Linked DNA regions of Lytechinus pictus. The protein of the gene in region 2 interacts with the protein of the main gene of each other region in a pairwise test. Links are inferred from orthologs where the notes say so. Each region holds a gene or a part of one and is shown on either strand. Other genes may lie near its edges.

Region 1 (7,487 bases), on a different chromosome or scaffold from region 2:
TTTTTGAAATTTCATGTTTTTTATCCTCAAAATTGAACATTCTGGGCAATGTTTGTGAACTTGAACAAGATGCGTATTTTACTAAAATTGCTGCGAGCGCGAAGGAGCAAAAAAAAAAGTAAGTAAGAAAAGAGAGAAATATACGTTCTGGCCTGATCGAAAAGGGACTTGCTAATGGCGGTTTACAGTTAGCCAAGAAAACGATGCATATTTCAATCAAAATAATGCGAGCGCAAAGCTCGAGCTAAAATGTTTGAAATTCTGACCATAAAAATGGACATTCCAAGCACTTTGTGTATGAACAGAACACAGTGGGAGCACGAAGCGTGAGCGGATAACAATTGAGATATATAGACCTAAAAGGAACACTATTTTATATTTATGTTTTCTAAATCGTGAAAAGGGTGGGTAATTGGTTACCGTCTTACATTATTTTATAATGCAAGAGCGAGAAGAATTTTTTTTATATTATAATCTGAAGCGAGATAATTTAAGCATGCTGTTTTCAATAAAGGATAAGCAGCCCGTCCTTCTCAATAAACATGCGTGTTCTAGAATTTGTGCATTCTTAATACACTTTTTACCACGGAAATCAATAATGCGAGCGCGAAGCGCGAACTGATAATATTGGATATTCCGATGTGAAAAGGTCAAATTAAGCACAATATAGGTGGTTTGAATAAAAATGAATAAAACGGCTATTTCGACTCTCCGTACGGCCGCCGCAGAGCAAATGTGACCGAGGTATAAATCAAAAAGAATAATGAAAGTTCAATGTCCTAGCTGACCGTACAGTATTTGTTTTGTATTTTGACTGCAAAGCTTAAATGTCAAGCTCATATATATCAGCCTATTGAGCAATATGTACTCATCGAAAATAAGCAATGCGAGTGCGAAGCGCGAGCGAAAATTTCAATTTTGCATGTTCTTTTAAATCATCAAAGCCTCCCCTCCCTAATTTTATTCACTTTTCTCCCTCCCTTTCCCCCTCTCTTTCCCTTCTGTTTCTTAATCTTCCTTTCTCCATTTTTTGGTCTTTAATCCGCCAACAGGGAAGGGGGGGATGACCCCCCCCCCCTGGATCCTTCTATGGTAGCGATGGGATGGGGAAAGCATTTGAATTATTCACCTCACAGTGTTAAACGGGGAAAATAGGAAATGGCTAAATTTTGAAAATCATTAATGTGGAGCCCTATTCAAGTTTAGTTTCATCTATATACACCTTGACGGGGGCTGATCCAGGATTTTCCAAAGTGGGGGCATTCAAGACCTAGTATGCTAAGAAAAAATCATTCCATACACAAAATTCCTGGGAAAAGTTGAAAAATAAGTCCTCACTTGAGAATGAACGACAAAATCCACTAACAAATATTTGATATATTACGGGAGGGGGCACCTTTATTTTTCTCCCCTTTCCTTATTCCTCATCCATTCCATAGGCAGATCCAGGTGCCGGACCCAATTATGGGCGGCGGCAACCCCTCCTACTGGCGGTGCGAAAATTAAAAAGGTAAAAATTGTAGCCCCCCCCCCCCATTAGCAAAATTTTGATCTACACCGGGTATTTGTCTGTCGTACCTCCCAGTAAATGAAATAACAAAAACAAAAAAAAAATCACCGTTGCACTAGTATTAAAATTTTTGCGAGTCTTTTTTTTTCAAATATTTTTGTTTATAATGGTATTCATTAATTATAATTATAGTGGAGGTTCGCATCCCGAGAATGTGAAATGAAAAAAAGAAAACAAAAATTGCACTGAACAGGAAACACTAAACGTCCTTTTCAATTCCAATTTACTCAAAGTCATTCAAATAAAAAAAATAAGCATCATTTTGTGATACCTTAACTTGTTCATCACGAATACAATGAAGCCGACAATTATTTGCTTTGTTTTGGATTAATCTTTATAATAATTCACTTCAAATAAAATTTATACATAAACAGGAAAATATCACAGAAAAAAAAATTAATTGCAGTTGTATAAAACATCATAGAAAATAACATGACAGATAAATTTTATCTCGACAGGCACACTGTTCATTCGATCATAAAACAATCACGCTGTTTCACTCCTTGTACACGCACATCTCTATCAGTGTTGTTTCATCTTCATCTGCCTCAATGGCAAGGACACCAGCATGATTCATTCACTTCAAATAAAATTCATACATACATATACAGGAAATATCAAAGAAAATAATATAACAAATCAATTGCAGTTGCATAAAACACGATAGAAAATAACATGGCAGATGAATTTTATCTCGACAGGCACACTGTTTCATTCGATCATGAAACGATCGCGCTGTTTCACTCATTGTACACGCGCAACTCTATCTGAATTGTATCATCTGTCCTCAATGCGGCAAACACCAGCAGTGCAGTGACGATAATAAGTTGCAGTTGCACGTGCGCGGAGAATGAATTAAATTCGGCGGCTGAGTAAAGTCTAGCGAGAAAGGTACGTCACCAGCGAACTTCACGATAGACCACGCCTACTTGCCGAGGTAACCAACGTTGATTGACGGCCCATTTTGTTTTTTGAGTAGTATGAAAAAGTGCAAGCATGTATAAACTTCATTTTAGTTTGAATTCATTAAAAAAAAACATTTTTCTTCTAATATAGATGTTTCAAACATATTCCATGTGGAAAACATAATTTTTAAAACATTTATTGCTATATATTTATCATGAAAAAAGGATTTCTTACGCAACAACAAGTATGATATGTGTGGGCAAGAGAACTACCGTTTTAGCCATAAAGCATATTTTTTATGATTTTATTGTGAGCCTACTCAAGGATTTTTGTTTATTTTTTATGAATTTCCAGACCAAGTTCAACAGCGCCGTCTCGAGCTTGCAATAACGCATGCGATCGCACGCATTTTTCTCCATAGCGAATACACGCGACGAAACTCTGTGGATTTCTCGTGGATTTAACCTCCAAACGTCACTTTCGATACCACATGAAGGTAAGACACTTCATCCCACATAAGTCAATTTTAATATAGAAAATACAGGGCCTAATTTTTTTCACTAAGATGAACTAATTTGCTGAGGAAAAGCATTTCAATGCTCATTTTTGCCGTCGAGAACAGACGATGGTGGCAATGCACACTGTTTACGCACTTGCAATTGGCTTTTCATTTGCCCATAGCAATTTTGCTCAGTGGATCGGCCGACCTTTTGGTAACTCTACTTGTAGCCAAAATTAACCTTGTTGGCAAAATTAACCTTGATAGCTAATGTAACCTTGAGAGCTAAAGCTCGTCTCTCTTATATTACTTGTACTTGATGCCCCCAAAAATTTCAACAAAATTAACCTTGTAGCCAAAATTAACCTTGTTGGCAAAATTAACCTTGATAGCTAATGTAACCTTGAGAGCTATAGCTCGTCTCTCTTAAATTACTTGCACTTGATGCCCCCAAAAATTTCAACAAAATTAACCTTGTAGCCAAAACTAACCTTGTTGGCAAAATTAACCTTGATAGCTAATGTAACCTTGAGAGCTAAAGCTCGTCTCTCTTATATTACTTGTACTTGATGCCCCCAAAAATTTCAACAAAATTAACCTTGTAGCCAAAATTAACCTTGTTGGCAAAATTAACCTTGATAGCTAATGTAACCTTGAGAGCTAAAGCTCGTCTCTCTTAGTCTTATATTACTTGTACTTGATGCCCCCAAAAATTTCAACAAAATTAACCTTGCAGCCAAAATTAACCTTGTTGGCAAAATTAACCTTGATAGCTAATGTAACCTTGAGAGCTAAAGCTTGTCTCTCTTATATTACTTGCACTTGATGCCCCCAATTACTTTATTTGTTGCGCGATCAACCGAACCACGCGCGGATGGATATCAACTCGCCGATGATAAACAGGGTCGGGTCGAGGATCCACGAATCAAGGTAAAAAGTTGATGTCCCCTGGGGGCATCAAGTACAATTATGCCATAGGTTGGACCAGTAGAAAAAAAAGGGTTAGTGTGGAGCCCTGCCTATAGGCTATACCGGCATGGTCCACACACCCGACGGCCGGAGCATCGTCGGGAGCGCCGACCAGCCCACGGCCACGCTGGCTAGCTTCGTCGGTTCCGTCGATCAACGACCCCGGCCACCTCCCCTGACCATCGATAAAAACGCGTTTACTACATTAAAAACAACCAAAATGTTTCCCAAATACGACTCAACATCACGCTAATTACACCCCTAACTAAAATATGTACATTAATTACAAAGAAATAACACGATCCAATTAACAAACAATAAAAATAGAGGAAAATTATCACACCTTGCCAGGTCATGGAAGTCGCCATCTTTGAGAATAATGCATGACGGGAAGACATAGCTGCTTGCGCAGCTGCATCATGGGAATTTGTTTCTATGGGTATCCCATGACAACAATCCATATCTTCGTTCGTGTTTGTATCAGAATTCTCTTCAAACCAACGGATTATCCCAATTTCTTTCGAATATTCATTTTTATAACTCGAAAAAATGATTCCACCAAATGCGTCACTAGTCAAATATGATAACCCTGTTCTTGTAAGCAGAAATACTGAGAAGAAAACACCTCGGGTAAGTTGTAAAGCAAAGGCAGCTGCAGCAAAAAAGTTTAGCAGCACCACTGCGCTGCTCTGAGCACATAACTGACCGAAAAGACGGCTGGACCTATCCGATAGCTAGCGCTGAGCGAGACCACTGTCAAACTGACTGCGGCTAGCGACTTAATTAGGCTATATAGTCATAGTGGCGGCGAAATATTTAACTTTATCGCTGAAACAAGCCTGATTTTTAGAGTTGTTCACGCTAGAAAGTATCTCTTTATGACTTTATCTACACGTATGCCATGGCAGTGATAATGAATGTATGATGGGGGGACCTAAAGCTACGCACTTTGTTTTCAAACAACAAAAACTATCCCAATTTTAAATTTAATATTTCAACAAATTATCTTTCACTAATTTGTGGCAAACATTATGAAGATCATTAACCAAGAAGAAAATATCGCAAAACTCACTAACACGAAAATCCCGCCATGTTTTCCGAACACCTCTTGATTTCGCCGCCCGATGTAGAAGGGGTCCTAAAGCTACGCACTCGATTTATCATGCAAAAAAATAGTATTTCCTGTGCCTCAATTTCTAAAATATATTCACATTATTATAGGATAAAATGAAATTAAAGCGAATATAACTCCAAAAATCCAAATAGTTGTTTGTTTTCTCTGCATTTAGAGATTTACTGCAACCTCTGTAGAAAAAATTGATTAGGAATCGTTCGTCAGATCTGCAGTCACAGTTCCACACACAGAGTGCGCATTTGCCATAAAAACTGCATGCGCTATGAGTGGTGCGTAGCTTTAGGACCCGCGCAGCTTTAGGACCCCCGACCATACTATGAATTATGATGGGGTGATCATAATTTGTGCACATGTTGATTTTAGTCTTACTCTTAGTCTTTAGAAATAATATACCGTATCACATGAAGCTAATTTTCAATCAAAAAATTCTAACACTCACAGTTCACACAAAAATTAATCAAAATCATAAATACCAAATGGAAGGCAAGATCCTAAAAGTCAAATTCGCTTGATGGAATTATAAAGTAGTCAAGGGCAGGGTTTTGCTGGTACCGTACTACCGACTAACATTACCGGTATAAATAAGTGGTAGGGTGTCTGGAGAAAATTTTTTTTTTTCTTATTTCAAGAAATATCACATTTTCTTTGTGAATTTGAATTGAAGAGAAATAACCTTCAGAATGACAACAATTATAACATTAAAAAAAAATCAAATTATTGGCTGCAAAAAAGGAGAATGATATTAGGTAAATTTTCAGCAAAGTTTCCCTGCCATAGACTGTAGTAAAGAAATGGACACACAAATCCAAATTTTTAGCTTCCGAGAGCTGTTAAAAATTTATTATTAATGCCAAAAACTTGTCTATAAAGTGTCTAATAGGAATTTTTATGTTCATTCTGATGGTATGATTTTTATAAAGATTTGGAAACCAGATCACAATGAAAAATTGCGACAAAGTGAAAAATTTGTGCAAAACAGAATTTCATTTCCCATAGAAAACGCATGGGGAAATGGCAATCTTAACACACACACAAATAAGGGTTTGCAATTTATCTCCAAAATCCTCATTTCAAATAATCCTATAAACTTGTCCTTACTGTCAAAAGAAGCCCCTGAATTTTCTCTTTCCATACATGCCAAACACAAGTTAATATTTAATTCAGATCACATTTTTATAGCAGCCTGAATTTCCAGAAAAAATGTGCCATATTTCCCCCTAAATCAGCCTGTTGGTGTTTTATGCTGACACTTTTCAGTGTGGCTTCAGACACCCTACTGGTATTGCGATCTCAAAATTCCATGGTGATCGACTAATGCACGCTCGGCTGAAAAAGTGTCATAAAAATGTGTGACCTTATTTTACGCGTGATCGTTTAGCAAAGCTTTAGAAAAGAAATAATGCAGACAAAGCCAAAGGAAAGATGATTGTATCAGATGGAGGTTAAAATGCCATAAACATGATAAATTCAGTTGGTATCACATTTTACCTTTTTTAAAAGACTGCTTGCAAACTGGTGATTTCTTGATGCTTGTCGAGAAGTTCGGATTTTCTCGGAGCGAACGCAAAAGGTAGCAAACTTTGCTGATGTTTTGCCAATTACCTTCAAGAAAATTACCATACTGAGTAATTTTGGGTGGCTTTTTGAAGTTTTTCTGTTAATTGGTGATATCAGTGTTTCAAGATATTGATTGGATGTTGAGATATTCTACCGTGCGCAATTTAGGTAATTATGCACAAATTAAGGTCACCACCACCATGTCAAGGAAGGTGTTCAGAATTTGTTGCTTCTAAGCTAACGTTAGATCCAAGTCAGATTAGTCTAGAGTCTGTCTTACTCTTAGTTTAGTAACTTAAGAAGGAACAAATTCTGAACACCGGCTTCACATTGCGTCGGCATTAGTGCATCCATCAGTGTTGGATAAATGGAGAAAGAAGTAATGGGGCATGTTTGTTTTTGTTTTTTTTAATGCGGACAGATTCCTAGGCATTTTTTTTTCAGCAAAAGAAGTAGATCTAACGTTAGACTCTATCCCCATTTATGAAGAGTTGAGTTTTGTTTCTGTCTAAATTTGTTTTTGTATTTTTGATTCCTTGGGCTCTGGGGAGTTAAAAGTACAGCTGCTTCTTCTAATAATCTCAGAGATCAACAGATGGTTGCTGCATAGATAAATCAATAATAATAATAATAACATTTGTATGGCGCTTTATACTGGTGTTTCAAAGCGCACAGGTTGGCAGATTATAATAATATACAGTCAATCCATTAAAAAAGAAAAAAGAAAACAAGTTATGAGAAAAGGTGAGTTTTAAGTGACTTGATTTGAAAGTGATTTGAAAATTTCCACGGAGGGAGCATTTTGGATATTTGTAGGGATTTTATTCCAGAGGGTGGGAGCAATTACAGAA
Region 2 (7,887 bases):
TGAAAATCTTAGTCAAAGTCACATTTTACACCAATGAAATGCCCTTCTACAGTCCATATTACTAAAAATCTGGTGTACCCTGATTATTTGCAAGCATTAAAAAGAGGAATTATGACCTCTCTTTTGACTCAAAAAGACCGATTTCCAAATGAATTAATACACATAAAAACCCATAGGTGAGTACATCACAGTCCCATGTGTGCATTTGTATGTATGTTGATACTTTGTTTCTTTCGGAGCTGTGTCTTTTCTAGCCAAAAATAAACAGTTTCTTTCTTTCTTGTTTATACATGACTTCTTAAACCACTCTTGAGAAAGTAAATACTTTGGGAAGTCATTTCATTAATATGAAATGTGAATTTTTCCAACATTTTGGCAAATATAGGGAATGACTTTTCTCACACTTTTTTCTTCCAGGATATATAACTTATGTCATTTTCTTTTTTTTTCTTTCATTTTTTTATGCCCCTTCCCATTGAATAAGCCTGATTAAAGAATGTTTCTACTAAAAAATAATGCAAACTAAAGGATATAAAAATAGAAATGCGCCATTACCAAAAGATAAGTGAAAATTATTTGCTTGGCTTTTAATTATATTCCAGTCAGAATAGACTGTTAAAAAATATTTGTAATGGCTTCTTAATTTTTCCTCCTTTCCCCCATTTTTATATAAATTTTGTTTGATTCATTTTTCTTTTATTTTCTTTTGTTTATTTTATAGTCTAAATCTTTTTTCTCTTTTTCTTTTAATTTTTTCCTGTTCTTTGTTTTTTCTTCATTTTCTTTCTTTTGTTTTATTTCACTTATTTCTTTTATTATTATTGTTTCCTTTTTGTAATATACTTTTTGAAAATTATTTTTGTTTGTTTCCCCCTTTTATGCATTGTTCTAATTTTGCAGCATATTTTTCTGTGATTTTCTCCTGCTATAATATGATGCAAAAGAGAAAAAAATTAACTGGATTTGGGGCCTCCATAATCTAGATTTTAGGATTCAAAGAGGAAGAAAGGAAAAATCATTGTTTTGTACATCTATCTGAGTTTGCTATGCAGTATTTATTTACTTTTCCATTATGAATCTGTGTCTATACGGAGATTTTTTTTAAAGTCCACACAATTCATTTATTCTCTTTCAATCATTTCATATAAATGATAGAAGTTAGAACAATCTATATTTTACCACAAATCAATTAGCAAAGTAAAATACAGCAAACAAGGTTTACACACAAGATGTACAAAGTGAAAGTAACTTAGTGGTAGTGGCTGCAGAATTAATCTTTCAGAATGTTTAATGTTTTTTGCTTTATATTTTCCGGGCCACCAAACTTCAATATCGGGCCACCAAAAAAAATTATTTGAAGGTTTTGGTGGCCTGAACGGGCCACCACCGAAAAAAGTTAATGTGGAGCCTTGAATATTCAGTAGCAGCTATTCATATTTCATGTTCTATGTATATTCATAAATTATTTTATTGGTTGTCTGTGCTTATTAGAATATTCATTATTTCTCTTTGCCATGCAAACCAAGTATGTAGACATGTATGCAAAATAAACCCCCAAGGTTAAAATCGTGATCTGGCTCAGGGCAGATCTATACAGGCAAGCAGGGGGTGAACACGTGTATGTTGTACAACTCTTTTTGGATAGACCATGCCTAAATGTTAGCCCTAGGCCACCCTACAATTGATGGAAAATATTGGTGGCAGCATTATAAGACATTGTTATATTAAAGGGATCGTTTAACTTTGTGAGCAGCTGATTTAAAAAATTCTCAAACTGAGTTGAAACGTGCGTATGAGTGCCTGTATTTGTCCTCAAAAACCCTGAAACAGACCACAATATAGGATGAAAAACTCTAATTTAGATACAAGTAGCAATTTATTAGCCTGATTTTGAGAACCGTCTAGTAGACGGGTTCAGCTTATGACCAGTTTTCTCCAATTCAAAAAGTCTGTTGGCTATTTTGCCTGCCTTCTGTTGTGTGTATCTTCTATACACACACTATTAGCTGTACTGTACATTCAGTGTATACCTTGTACACACTGTATGTAGGTCATGCTGTGTTCATCTAGAATTAATGTGTTGTGGTGCACAGATTCCCTGTATACACATAGTCATTGAAACCAACTCCCAATTATTTCAAACTTTGGTTTACATCTCCAAGGTTTTAAAATTGATCCTGTAAATATAATACTTTGAAACTTTTGGGATGGTATTTTTACACTATAAGCCTAATGTTTAGCCCATTTTCAGGAACCAAAAGGAGAATTTTTTAAATCAGAACAAAGTGAAATGATCACTTTAAGCTGTCTCTGCATTTTATTTCATTATAAATTTGTTTACCTTGTATATATTGTTTTAAATTTTGAATGAATATAAACAAATTGAAATGTATATGACACGCATATAGAGGGCGACATGATATTGTGCTGCTGCGTGTCGTAGCTTAGCTACAAACAAAGAGGGCAAGATGGCAACGTAAACATCGGTACGTTACATCCAATCTTCTCATAATAAATTTGTTTTGTTTTTTTAATTTACATTGTTTTAAAAATGTAATCAATAATGCATAATTATTGGAAATGAAGTTCTAGCCCATTTACATGATTTAGGGCAAGAACTTTTACAAGGTAGAAATCTCGGGGGCGAAAGTTGCAACTTTGATCGTCCTACTTATACTACGCACATGATGGGCACAATTCCTGGCTCCGCGAGCCCGTAGTCGTGGAGAATATTTAATTTAGTTAATGATTTTTACTCCTGGCTAGGCACAAGCTAGTGCAAAATCATTTCATACACTGTCTCACAAAGACACAAGGCTCACACAGTCACAGTCATGACAGTCACGCCTACATATTGCAATTTGCATTCATTGTGCATTCTGCCATTCAATTGATCCCCCCTCACACATTCACAATCTCCATTCAATCACAGTGCACACAGTGCAGTGACAGTCAGGTGAGTCAGTGGGAGTGATTCTCGATACTCACTTTGCATCTTTGCCAGTGCTCGTCGTATCGTCGACTGATGTCGAGCTCTGCTGGTGATTTTTCAAGGCCTCAAAGGACCTGGCCAGCTTCTCCATGTTTGATACACTGACCGCTCGATTCATGATGACCGGTTGTAGTCAGAATTCACGAATTATCTTGAAATTTCCACCATCATCGCAGGCGAATTCACGGTAATCCAAAAGCTAGTCATCTTTAAACGTAAGAGGGCGGCAGATATCTGCTTCGCATTTTGTTCATGCAAATTTGGTGAAATAAATGAAGATATAAAAAGCAAGCTGAGGTCTCAGTTTTACATAAAAACTAAAGTAATTTTCTTTTCTTTAAACATAACTTAGATAGTGGGACTATATCATAGATAGAGGTATGGAGTATAATCACCTAGAGAAAAAAAATGGGCATGTGCTCTCTGTACTTGTTAACCCCTAAGGGGCGTGAACATCATTCTAGGTCTCGCAAAAATCCCCCCCCCCCCCAAAAAAAAAAAAGAAGAAGGAATTCAGCTGTGTGATATTGAGACACAACAAACACTTGCTAATTTTTAGACTTTTGGACATAAATCAAAACAAAATTATACGTTACTTACTAAAATCTAAGTATTTTTTATGATCAAATAATATCATATAGACCAGCTGGATTAAGTATCAATAATTGCCGTTTGTATCCATCACATTTCGGCTCTTGACACAACGATCTTTTTAAACCATCTAATTGTCTATCTATATTCAAGAAAATTAATTTTGGTATTATTATTCCCCCCCCAAAAAAAAAAAGGAATTCAGCTGTGTGATATTGAGACACAACAAACACTTGCTAATTTTTAGACTTTTGGACATAAATCACAACAAAATTATACGTTACTTACTAATCTTAGTATTTTTTAAAGATCAAATGATATCATATAGACCAGCTGGATTAAGTATCAATAATTGCCGTTTGTATCCATCACATTTCGGCTCTTGACACAACGAACTTCTTAAACCATCTAATTGTCTATCTATATTCAAGAAAATTAAATTTGGTATTATTATTTTATCAATTAGCCCTATACATTTCATTAAAATTGTATTATTTTATGAGAATCGCACAGTGATCCCATTATTTATTTGCCTGTGATATTCGGTGAATTTCAATAAAAACATACATGTAAATTTATGTGGACATGAGAAACATCTATCTATCTACATGTGTATTTTAAAAAATTAATCAAACTTGTTTCGATTTCTGACATAGATGGAATAGCTAGCTCCTCACAATGTAGAACACAAATTCATTTCTTGAATAGTTAACTATATTATGCAAAGATCAACTTAACGCTATGAAAAAATGGTGTCCTACCACATTCTTAAATTATTGGTATTTTCCTTTATGGATATCACAATAGTATGAAAATTCAATGTGGTATATAGGAAAGGTCTGGAAGAGAGATGGTTATTGAATTTCAAGACCTTGATTGATGCTGTGTATTTTCTATAAACTGTTAAATGAATGGCGGCGTTCCACAGTCAAAATGAGACCCATGGTGTTTTACTTTTGTCCATTATGTTGTACTGCAACAAAAAATTAATATGTAAAGGTTCGTGTTCTATTCTTTTTTCCTATAGGACTTTCAAGTTCGCCTCAGTAAATTGTATAAATCCTCGTAACTTTGTCAAATCCAATGTTAAGTTTGAAATACCCACAGCTTTCCGGTCCAGGATAGAACAACTAAAGGATAAAAGTGTTGGGACTGGGGGCCATGTGGCCATGTATTGTATCATGTTCATCATATCATTTTCTATCCTTATCTACTCAATTCTTACATATAGACGGACACAGAGGGCCGAAGCGCCCCCCCCCCCTGAGTTAGTAAAGCAAAAAAAGAGGAAAAAAGGGGGAAAATTGAAAAAACGAAGGAGAGAGGGGGAGGAAAGGATTTTTTTTAATTGAGTCATATAAACATAAAATTTTCGCTCGCGCTTCGCGCTCGCAATGCCTTTAGAGTGAGACAGTAATCTGCTCAAGAGGATATTATGAGGGATTATGAGGCCGAAAAGTATCACGTTTTCAAGTCAATAATTACAAATTATTCTGCTCGAGATTCGAGTTTTCATTATTTTGTTTGAGTGTGATACGCATCTAGTTCATAATTACATAAAATAATGTCTGGACTAGAAATGAGTCAGCTTGCGGCCTCGCCAGTACTGGGCCTTGCATGAGCCTGAGGCGCTCTCATTTTAATGCGATACGAATATCCTTTTGATTAAAATTCCTGAATGCCATTGAATGGTCCCTTTTCAGATCATTAACATCAAGTATTTAATTAAAGCTAGCAGCCTCGCGCTTTGCATTCACGGCATTGAAGATAAGCATCCTGTTCATGATTACAAAACGTACTTAAAATGTCCCGTTTATAGGTATAAATCGGCTAAAATTTTCAACCAGCGCTTCGCGCTCGCATCATGTGAGTTCCATATCCTCTTCACAATTTTCCTGCATGTTAAACAGTGTTTAAATGTTTAGATTCTTTCGTTTCAACACATAAAAAACACACTCTGGCTTCGCGCTATTATTATCTAGTTAGATACAATCCTTTCATGATTACAAAAAGTGCATAGCGGAATGTCCCATTTTTAGATTAAAATCTAAAAACCAAATAGCTAGGGCTTCGAGCTCGTATATTTTGTTCAACAGGGTTTTTTTTCGCGTCCGCATAAATGGTATACCTGTACATTTCATGGTTACAAAAAGTACCTAGTTTTCAGGTCGGAATATGAAAAAAAAACCAACAGCTTGTGCTTCGCGCTCTCATTATTTGATTATAGTGAGATGTGAATCATTTTTACAGTGGCGGCATCAGGATTTATAAACTGGGGGGACTAAGGGCAAACGAAAAGTATGGGGGAAGAAGGGATTTGTTTTGTTGTTGCGTATTTCACAGAATCAAGTGTGAAGAGCGAGTTTTAGTGACTTGGGTGCTTGGAATCACATTTTGGGGTATGGATCGAGGAGTCCAGGGGCAGATCACACATAGGCGTTTCTATTACAGTTTATAAAGCGGGATTTCGACTGCCAATACTCAATAGGAAAGAGGGAGTAAAACTATTTTCATGCACATTATATCCCCGATCACCCCCTAGAAGCTAAGTTTTGTTTATGTTTTATAGAATGGGGAGTCCTAACCAGGGTCATGGGAACGATTATTTGATTGGGGGTGCTGATGTAAATTTGACAAGCAAAAAAAAATACTACAAAATGAAAGTAATTTGAGTCCGCAGAAATTTGACAACCCCCCCCCCCCCCCAAAAAAAAAAGCTAGGGTGAGGGTCTGTACAAAATTTAGGTAATTTTTGTTACATTTTTCAATTTCGTCTCACCTTCCAATACCAGGGGGTGCTGCCTATATGGAAAATAATACACGCATCACCCCCAGCGGCCCCGCTTCCCAGGGCCATGGTCCTAACTAAGACTGGAGATTAGCATAGTTTATAGTTACAAACAAGATAATGTATCTCGCATGGCCTAAATGAATAATGCGCAGCGAGCTGAGCTCAATTCTTTCAAAAATATTTTATGTATTAATTAGACCCGAAAATTGAACATTCTGCGCAGTTTTTGTATATTCGAGAACGGAGCGCGCGCTGATTTTTATTTTTTATTTTTATTCATTGACTTAAAAAGATACCTGTTAAGGACTGTTTGCAGTGACTTATGAAAAAGGATGTCTCAACAAACAAATAATAGGAGCGCAAAGCGCGAGCTGATTTTTTTTTAATATTCCGAGTTGATAACTAACGTTCTAAGCACATTTTTAAAACCACGAACAGGGTGGGTATCTAATTAAACAACTGATGGGTGCGCCTAGCGCAAGCTGATATTTTTTCATTTAGCACTTTAGAACAGGATGTGTATCTTGCAAAAATCAAATAAAGAGAAGAATGATTTGTGCAGATTGACTTGAAAATTTGATATTTTAAGCCCCATTGAGTAGATCGCTTATTATTATACGCAACAGCCACTGCGAGCGCGAAGCGCGAGATAAAGTTGGATTTTTATATAGGCCTAATGTATGGAAGGTTAAAAGTGCCATCCAGATGTTCATATAATCATCTCGTCATGTTTACATCTCGTGTGAGAGATGATCAGATGACAAGATTCTTGATTTTGTCATGTCTTCATCTTATAGAAAAGATGATCAGATGGTTTCGTCATGGCTACATCCTGTGGGATAGATGTTCAGATGGCAAGATCTTGGATCTCGTCATGTCTACATCCTGTGTGAGAGATGATCAGATGGCAAGATCTTGGATCTCGTCATGTCTACATCTTTTAGAAGAGATGATCAGATGGCAAGATCTCGGATCTCGTCATGTCTAAATATTTTAGAAGAGATGATATGATGGCAAGATCTCGGATCTCGTCATGTCTAAATGATTTAGAAGGGATGATTGTAATGAACATCAGGGTGGCACTTTTAAGCTTCCATACTAATGACCTAATGTTATGACTAACAGTTACCATGTGAGAAAATCTTGAACAAATTGAAGAGTGAAAATCCTGTTTCTAGAGCACTTTACAGCTCGAGTAGGATGCTTCTGCTGTCTTCCCCTGTCTCTCATGTCTTCGTTCCAATTCCTACTCTCTTCCCCGGCTCTCTTCTCACTCTTCACCCTTTATTCTTCCTTTCTCTTTCGCTCTTATTTCTTGTTTTTGTCTTGCCAGCGTAACAGCTAGAGCGAGACTATAGGCACCGCTTTTCAGACGGCTGCGGACTCGGCGTCGTCAACATTGAAATCATAACCAAGGTTAAGTTTTTGAAATGTCATCATAATTTAGAAAGTATATGGACCTAGTTAATGAAACTGGATATATTAACATTAATCAGGTATATAACTGAACATC
Region 3 (7,842 bases), on a different chromosome or scaffold from region 2:
TATTAAAAACTTGCGACTTTTGTGACTTTCTTACCTTTTAGATGGTATAGTTTCCTCAACTGAACTCCTCCGAGCAACACGTCGACCTTTACGCGTTCTATTCTTGACAGCAGGGGTCTTCGGTAGGAGTATGGCATCATCCCTATAGTTGGAAGCAAGAAGTTAAAAGCATTGATTAAACTATGATTTTGACTCAAATTTAAAAAACCTGCAAATATCAATTTGTCACCTGTGGTTTGTTGTAAATACAAAGCCCCCCAAAAAAATATTGTTAATGAAAATCGTTATTCAGTCATTCAGTGCACTTCAAAAAGTAACAGGAAAAACCTCCACCAGGGGCCCGTTGCAGAAAGAGTTGCGATCATCAAATGCAACTCAAAATATCTTGCGCTAATTGATTTTCAGCCAATTAAGCACCCATATTCGGGACTTGCGCTTGATATTTTGACTTGCGTTTAAAGTTAAACACAACTCTTTCTGCAAAATGCCCCAGAAAATCGAGTACGTTTATTTGAAACATGTGCATTCAGAATCATCAGACACACCCTCTCCTAAAGGACAATTATATTCAGTCATGGTGAGGTGAACCATTGAAAAGTTATGACATCAGGTGGGTGTTTCATAAAGCTGTTCGTAAGATACGAATGACTTTAAGATCGACTGGTGATCCTTTCTTGTGCTATGTGATATCTCTATGTAATTGATTATGACCTATTAAAGAGAAATTCCAGTAGTTGCAGTAAACACTGATTTCATGAGAAAGTCTGTAAAACCAGGCTTAATTGTCAGTATATCATCGAGGATCTAGATCTGGTACAGTTACATAAACTGAACTTTGTGAAATCTTGAAATCTACGCTGAAAAATGTTCAGACTGAACTTCCCCAACACAGATAAGTGCACGTGGGACAGTGTATAATTATTGCTTTGAGCGTCGGGCCCGACGCTCTACCCGAATCCTGTGCTTATTTGCTGATTTCTCAGCAATTACACAATTTCTTCCAGAATCCTTTGGCACATGCGTTTTATTTATACAAACAGATACTTTGGTGGTCATTTCATTGGATTCTGTACGAACTCATTTTGATATCGTTACCAAAACTAGCATTTACCTTAAAGAACATGTTTCAGTCGTGCATAAAGTCGTTCGTAACTTTACGAACATCTTTATGAAACATCCACCAGGTGGGTATTTCGTAAAGCTGTTCGTAAGTTAAGAGCGACTTTAAGAACGACTGGTTCATTGGCGATGGTTTGACACGTAAGAAAGGTTCACCAGTCATTCTTGAAGTCGCTCAACTAAATTACTCTTAACTTATGAACAGCTTTATGAAACGGCCCCTAGGTGGGTGTTTCATAAAAAAAGCTGTTCGTAAGATAAGAGTGACTGGTGATCCTTTCTTTTGGTAAATGGTATACACCATTGGCGATGGTTTAGCACGTAAGAAAGGTTCACCAGTCGTTCTTAAAGTCGCTCTTAACTTACGAACAGCTTTACGAAATGGCCCCCTGGACCGGCTGCTCACATACATGCATTTGTCAGGTTGTGAATTCAAAACTTTATAACATCACAAGTTCACAACTCTCATTCGCGTGTAGATATCAATCATTCTCTGGCAGATATTCGGCAAGCTTTCATCAATTCTTTTCTGTGTTTTTTTTTTCTTTTATCATACATCACCTATATCATCATTTAGAGTGAGATGAGATTACACTGAAACCACGATCAAGGAGAATCGCCTACCTTCCAAAGTTCTCCTTGGCAGTTATCAACACCTCTTCTAGATACTTCATGTGCTTGGATTCAAACTCGTGGAGGAATTGCCGGATGTGTGCCTCTGCATCATGGTATATATTGAACCCCAGGAGGGGTTGATCACCAGCCATTGTTGTAGTTTAATTATTATTCTGATGGACTAACCTGTGGGGGAAAAACAAATCATTACCATTTTGGGGTAATTCCAAGCAAGTCAAATCAAATCAAACCAATTTAATTATTGACTCCAAATGTGCCCATTTGATTAATTGATAGTCTATGGCAAAAGCTGACATTTTCACTGTAAGCAGTTTGCCTTTAATACGGATCTACAAGTACAAATGCATTTTGTTCGATACCATCCACCATTTGTCTCATCCACCAGCGCTAACATCTAGCCACCTAACTAGCCAACAAAACAATTTGAATTACTTAGCAGTTTTTCTACCTTTGACTTTGAGTTCTCAACACCAAGTGTCTACCGAGGAGATAGACCAAAAGCTTCGGTCTCTTTTATGTTGGTTGTTCCGCTGAACTCTGTTGGCTCCACTCACCAAATACAGAGACCGAAGTTCTAGCTTGATCTGTACAGGGACTCAATGGCCATATGTTAATGTATTAAGTTCGGATAAAACAGGGATTGAAGTTGCGCGACAGCTGAAGTAAGTCACTGTTTTTTCCCCTTTTAAGTTTATTTTTCCCCGTTTTGGTGCATTTCAGGCTATAAAGGCATGATAATCTTTATTTTGGTACAGTTCTTTTTATATATTTTTATGAAATAAAGACAAAAATTGATGAGCCCCGTCGGGGGAATTTTGCATTGTTAACCCCCTAATGGTGGCTGCACGATAGCGAGTCGTCTGTGTACGAGGAGAAATTTAAAAAAAAAAATGTTTAAAAACTCCTCGAAACAGACGGCTGCCAGCTGTCTACCGAGGAGACTACTAATGTAGGGCGTGAAACAGGCCCAAAATGAACAACAACAACATCCACAACGAGCTTTTGACCTCAATGAGACAAAAATTCTTTGTTTTGCACCCAACTTAAAGGACGATACGCGCGGGGGAGTAGGCGCAGTGTCCATATGAACAAGAATCGATTTACGAGAGAAAAAGGGGGAAAAGATACAAATTTAGTAAGAATTCATCAAAATTGTTTTGACTAGACCCGAACCCCGCCGAAAAACGGTTGTTCATACGGGGCAAGAAATCCGATAGGAAACGGCTTTAGAACAAATGTCCGTCGTCAATCGTCGAATCATGTGCCGGAGCTCGCAGTGGAAGTACATATGACAAACGATTCATCAATGATATAATGTTGTGAAACCTCTGTACTTGTCATCTCATAAAGAAAACACCTAACCTTGTGATAGACTCTATAAAAGTGAGAATAAAAGTGAAATAAGTACTAAAGTAATGAGGGAGTTGTACGTGTGTGATATCACAGATCTTGGTCGCATTGCCGATGAGAGGATCTACATGGCACTAGTGATCTCAATATTCAAATGCTCATAACTTTCTTATTATTCATTCAATCTTCCTCAAACTTTCAACAATATGTTTCTTTGATTTTTCTCTTTGATATGGATTCAGCTAGTTTCAAGGGTTTCATTCTCCTTTAAATGATTTTTACTCTCTAGAAGCCGCCTGGCTACTTTTGACCTCAGTGAGACAAAATTTTGGGTGGAAAAAATCATGCTTTTGTTGGTGTTGTTTCATTTGTCCTTTTGCAAAGCAAGTCTCCAATGTGGGAGATTGTCTCCCCTATTGGAGAGAGTCTCCCATATTGGCCGTGCGCCTCTACTGATGTAGTGAGACGATCAGTCGATCACTATACTATTTAGCATTTTGATATCAGACTCAGAGAACTGATTTGGATGAGTCAAAATATTTCGCCACTGTGACAAGAATCGGCCGTAAAGTGTATCGGGGGCGGTCGGTTTCAAAAGAAGGGTGCAAATGAGCAAATGTAAACTAAAATCGTCACATTCGTTGTTCGCCGATATATACGCGAATAGAATCGTTCAATCGGAGTCGTCGATCGAAGCATGGGAATCTGATCTGCTCAATTTTCTGCACAAATTAGACAAAATGTAGGTAAAACTGATAAATATTTTCGCAGATACGATGCTTAGGAAATTAGGTGGTCGATAAATTAAGGGGTAGGTCCAACCATTAAATCTGTATATTTAATCATGTCAAACGTATTGTATTTTAACTTAAGACATCATCATGGAGTCCTCAAACTAACAAGTAACTTATGTCTCCCTCCCTTCTGGTCTGGAGAGCTATATTAATAATTTATTATAAAAAAAGACATGATTAAGTCAAGTGATTAAATTACGGTCAATAATGAATATGACTAATCATTCTAATGACATGTGATACAAGTCTATACTATAGTCATGATAGTACAGTTAAATTATCAATTATCTGCTCAACAAAGTTAATCATAATATATATGAGTCTACTCATATTTTCTGAGGTCAAAACCAGATTTCAACACTGAAAATAAATTGAAATCACCCTTTGGCATTGATGTAAACACGCCAGTCGCCACACACACATTCCATTGTTAATGAATGGACACACAACACCGACGATTCAGTCAGCTCAGTCAGTCAGTGACTGAACACTGCACAACACCGAATGAAATTTCTTCGTCATTGAAGTACATCTTACAAGGAAAATTATAATCATGGGTATTCATATTTTTAAGACATCGAATTTTATAAATTTGTAATAATATACTCACCGTATGATATTACAACATCGAAAAACAATGGGCATAACTCGATGTTTCACCGTACACTTGCATGACTCGACTTGCCGCGCGTGTGATGAATACGTTTCAAATCTAGTTGCGGAAAGAGAGCCAATCATAAGCCACGAAGTAAGTACGTCATATGCACACACTATATCGCGATCACCGTAGATGGCGCTGAAACGCCACGTTGGAATTTACCGATTGGAGATAAAACTGTGCGAGGAAAGGTTGTGAAGATCTACAAAAGAGTGATTTTGATTTACATTTTCGGGTAATGAGAGGATTGATGCTCATCATACATAATTTGTATTTATTTATGTATCACTTTTAAACATTTCTAGTCTATATCTTTAGCATGTTATACCATAAAAATTGTGATCATTTACCACTTGATTCACTTAACCCGGGCCTAGGTAGACTCGTAGGCAAGGGGGTAGTATTGCCTAATGCGTGCGATTTAGCATGCACGCGATTGAATGGCGGAAAACCATAATTCCATGATGCATACACTTGAAATGCACACGAGCCAAATCACTGACCCTTTTGTGCAATGCTGCAATCTTTATTTTAATGGTGGTCGCCTATTTTTTAAAGATTTTTTATATATTTATTCCAATGGCCTTTTGAAATTTTCTCCTGTGACTGGGAGTGTATGTGGACTATTTGCAGCTTAATGGCAATGTTTTATGAGATAGATTAGACTTGTCTTTTTGACTTTTGAAAGTTTTGTATTGAATTTGGGTAGGCCTAGGGCCCCTATTTTTCTAGCCCTAGCCCTAGGCCTAAATTCTAAAAAAGTTAGATCTATCCTGTATCCAATTTCAGAGACAGTCTCCAGTTTGGGAGACCAATTTCCTTTGTTTACATTTGCTGCAAAAGGATTACATTGTCATTGGCAGCAAATAAAATGTGATAAGCAGATTCCTCATGAACAATTACCCCTTTTCACCCTCATGAGTCCCGTCTGGCATCTAGTCTACTTTAAAAATTCACCGTCTAATTTGATAAGGATTTTTGTTGTCATACACACACAAAACAAATGGGCTTCTGACTAGCCAGGACTGGCAGGAGTAGCCAGGGGCCTGTTGCATGAAAGGGTCTTTGGTAGAACCATTCTACGTAAGAACGAGATATCGCTCAACTGTTTCACAAAGCCGATTTGGGCGATACGAAGAATGGTCCTTGGAAAGACACCTCCAGACATGTCCTACGTAGGCATGATCTCATTTGCACACCGCCCGCCACCGTCGGCATTGAGAGAAAATGCATTTACGGCAAGCCACACTGACATATCACCTCTAAACATTTTTTTGGTTGCACTCTGATGCATTTTATCTGGGATGGCGCCAAGTTATTTTTTATATGGGGTCTAGTTGTCATCAATTTCAGGTCATCTTTTTGCACGGCAGGACGACCAAAAACGGATGTCATTTTAACTTCTCCGGGGTACATGTATTATTCCCGGGGGTAACTAGGGCCAAATATTTTTTTAAATATGTTTTCTTCTATTCTCCCTCCGTCTTATCCCCACCCCTTTTCTATTAAAAAATAAACTTGAAATACTTGAAATGGGCGGCACTATATCTCTTTAGCCGACCCCTCATGCTTTCTCATTATAGATAAACAACAAATTTCTTTAAAAGAAATTATGTAAGGTAAAAAACGTGTTCAATAACATTCAGCAAAAAAAAACAAGACAAACTAAACTAAGATGTTAAACATGCTAAATCATTTATTTATTTTTATTTTATTTTCATTATAATTATTGTTTTTTTGCTGAGATTTATTTTAATCAATGAAAATTAATTGTTGGATTTGAAACAGTGAAACAAAACAAAAAACCTGCAGCTAATATTGAATTTAAGATACAGATCAAGCCTATAGCTTACGAATCCATCACAACCATTACAAATGAAGATAAGTTCATTAAAGAAAAGATTATGGAAAGTCCATACGAAGAGGCGCATTTTAAATCTTAGGGTAGGCCCCTTTCGGCCCTTATGTCATAGCATATAATCTCTATACTCCTTAACTTTGAAATTTTGAACATATATATTTTTATGTTATTTCTTAAACCTTATATTCTTATATAAACTTCCATAAATTAAGTGATCATCTTTAAATATGACCAGCGTTTATGATCGTTGTCATATTTAGCATTATTTCTGTAAAAGTATTTTTTCCATTGCGAATTGATTCACACCTTTTTCAATGTTTTAATTATTATTGCAAAGTACTATATACTTTATCCACTTGGACATGTTTGCAGCAATTTTCATATTTTCATTTTCTTCTGTTACTCATCATGCAACTGAGGTATGTTTATACTCTAAACACTCACATTTGTATTTCTTGCGTTATATCTGACAAATAAAATAAATAAATTAGATTTTTCACACGCAGCCTCTCATATTTTCCTTTTTAGTCTCATACAATCAGACACTGTTGATTTTGTTTACTCCATTTAAACCCTATATTTACCTCAACAAATAACATATTAACGCATAATTTATAAAATTATCATTATATACAAGTATTCTATAAAAATACAGAATATTGAACTAATAAATGTCGAAATTACTTAGTTAAATCAATTTTTATGTCGGACAAGGGTCTCTTTCGTTGAAATATCAATAAAAGGTGTCTCTAAAAAGACACCGTGTTCTAAATAAGGGAAATAATGAAAATTTCGATTTTATTTAGTTATGTTTGTGAATCTTTAAAGTTTTTTCTCTTTTAACCTCATAAAGTAAGCTCCATACATCAATTCTACTATCAGTAATAAATAAAACATTATTTTATCTCCTTTTATTGAAATATCGGATTTTATGTAAAGTCGTCATTCAGAAATAAAAGGTTCAGGTGACGATGAAGACTAAATATTTTTCCGATACTATCGATATCAAACGATGTCGCGGACTTGGAAGACAAAATTGCCTTCGTGAAACGGAAAGCGCTGATTTGTCGCCAATCTTCCTATCTCGGAAGAATGGTCCTAGGACGTTCCTACGTATCGCTCATCTCGTCATGCAACAGGCCCCAGGAGGCTTCTAAGTTAGAGAGTAAAAATCATTTACTAACGTAGGCTTACTCTCAATGAAGCCAGGTCTTCCTTCTCATTCACCTACACGAAGGACCCCAAAAAACCTGAAACTTTCACCCCCGAGATTTCTACTTTCCTTCAGATCTAGCCCTAAAATCATGTACTAGGGAGTGATGTACATGGGATTAAACTTCATTTCCGACATTTCTACGCTCTCGTTATTTTTAAACAAGAATTCATCAAAAAAAATGAGAAAAATATTGTGAAAAGACGGAAGA

What was found.
Region 1: the proteins of huntingtin-like (region 2) and 33 kDa inner dynein arm light chain, axonemal interact in binary tests that used the Homo sapiens proteins (3 or more experiments, as listed by UniProt). The link is inferred for Lytechinus pictus from reciprocal best matches to the Homo sapiens genes HTT and DNALI1.
Region 3: the proteins of huntingtin-like (region 2) and coatomer subunit beta-like interact in binary tests that used the Homo sapiens proteins (3 or more experiments, as listed by UniProt). The link is inferred for Lytechinus pictus from reciprocal best matches to the Homo sapiens genes HTT and COPB1.

Annotation. Positions count from the first base shown.
Region 1 is NC_087245.1:30,453,779-30,461,265, reverse strand, and holds the start of 33 kDa inner dynein arm light chain, axonemal, read left to right. Parts: upstream 1-4,329; 5' UTR 4,330-4,493; coding exon 4,494-4,574; intron 4,575-7,487. UniProt on the Homo sapiens protein: Involved in sperm flagellum assembly.
Region 2 is NC_087256.1:7,276,235-7,284,121, forward strand, and holds the start of huntingtin-like, read right to left. Parts: upstream 3,218-7,887; 5' UTR 3,111-3,217; coding exon 2,989-3,110; intron 1-2,988.
Region 3 is NC_087263.1:10,345,656-10,353,497, forward strand, and holds the start of coatomer subunit beta-like, read left to right. Parts: upstream 1-4,684; 5' UTR 4,685-4,792; intron 4,793-7,842. Other genes in the region: inner centromere protein A-like, read right to left, coding at 35-142, 1,744-1,886. UniProt on the Homo sapiens protein: The coatomer is a cytosolic protein complex that binds to dilysine motifs and reversibly associates with Golgi non-clathrin-coated vesicles, which further mediate biosynthetic protein transport from the ER, via the Golgi up to the trans Golgi network.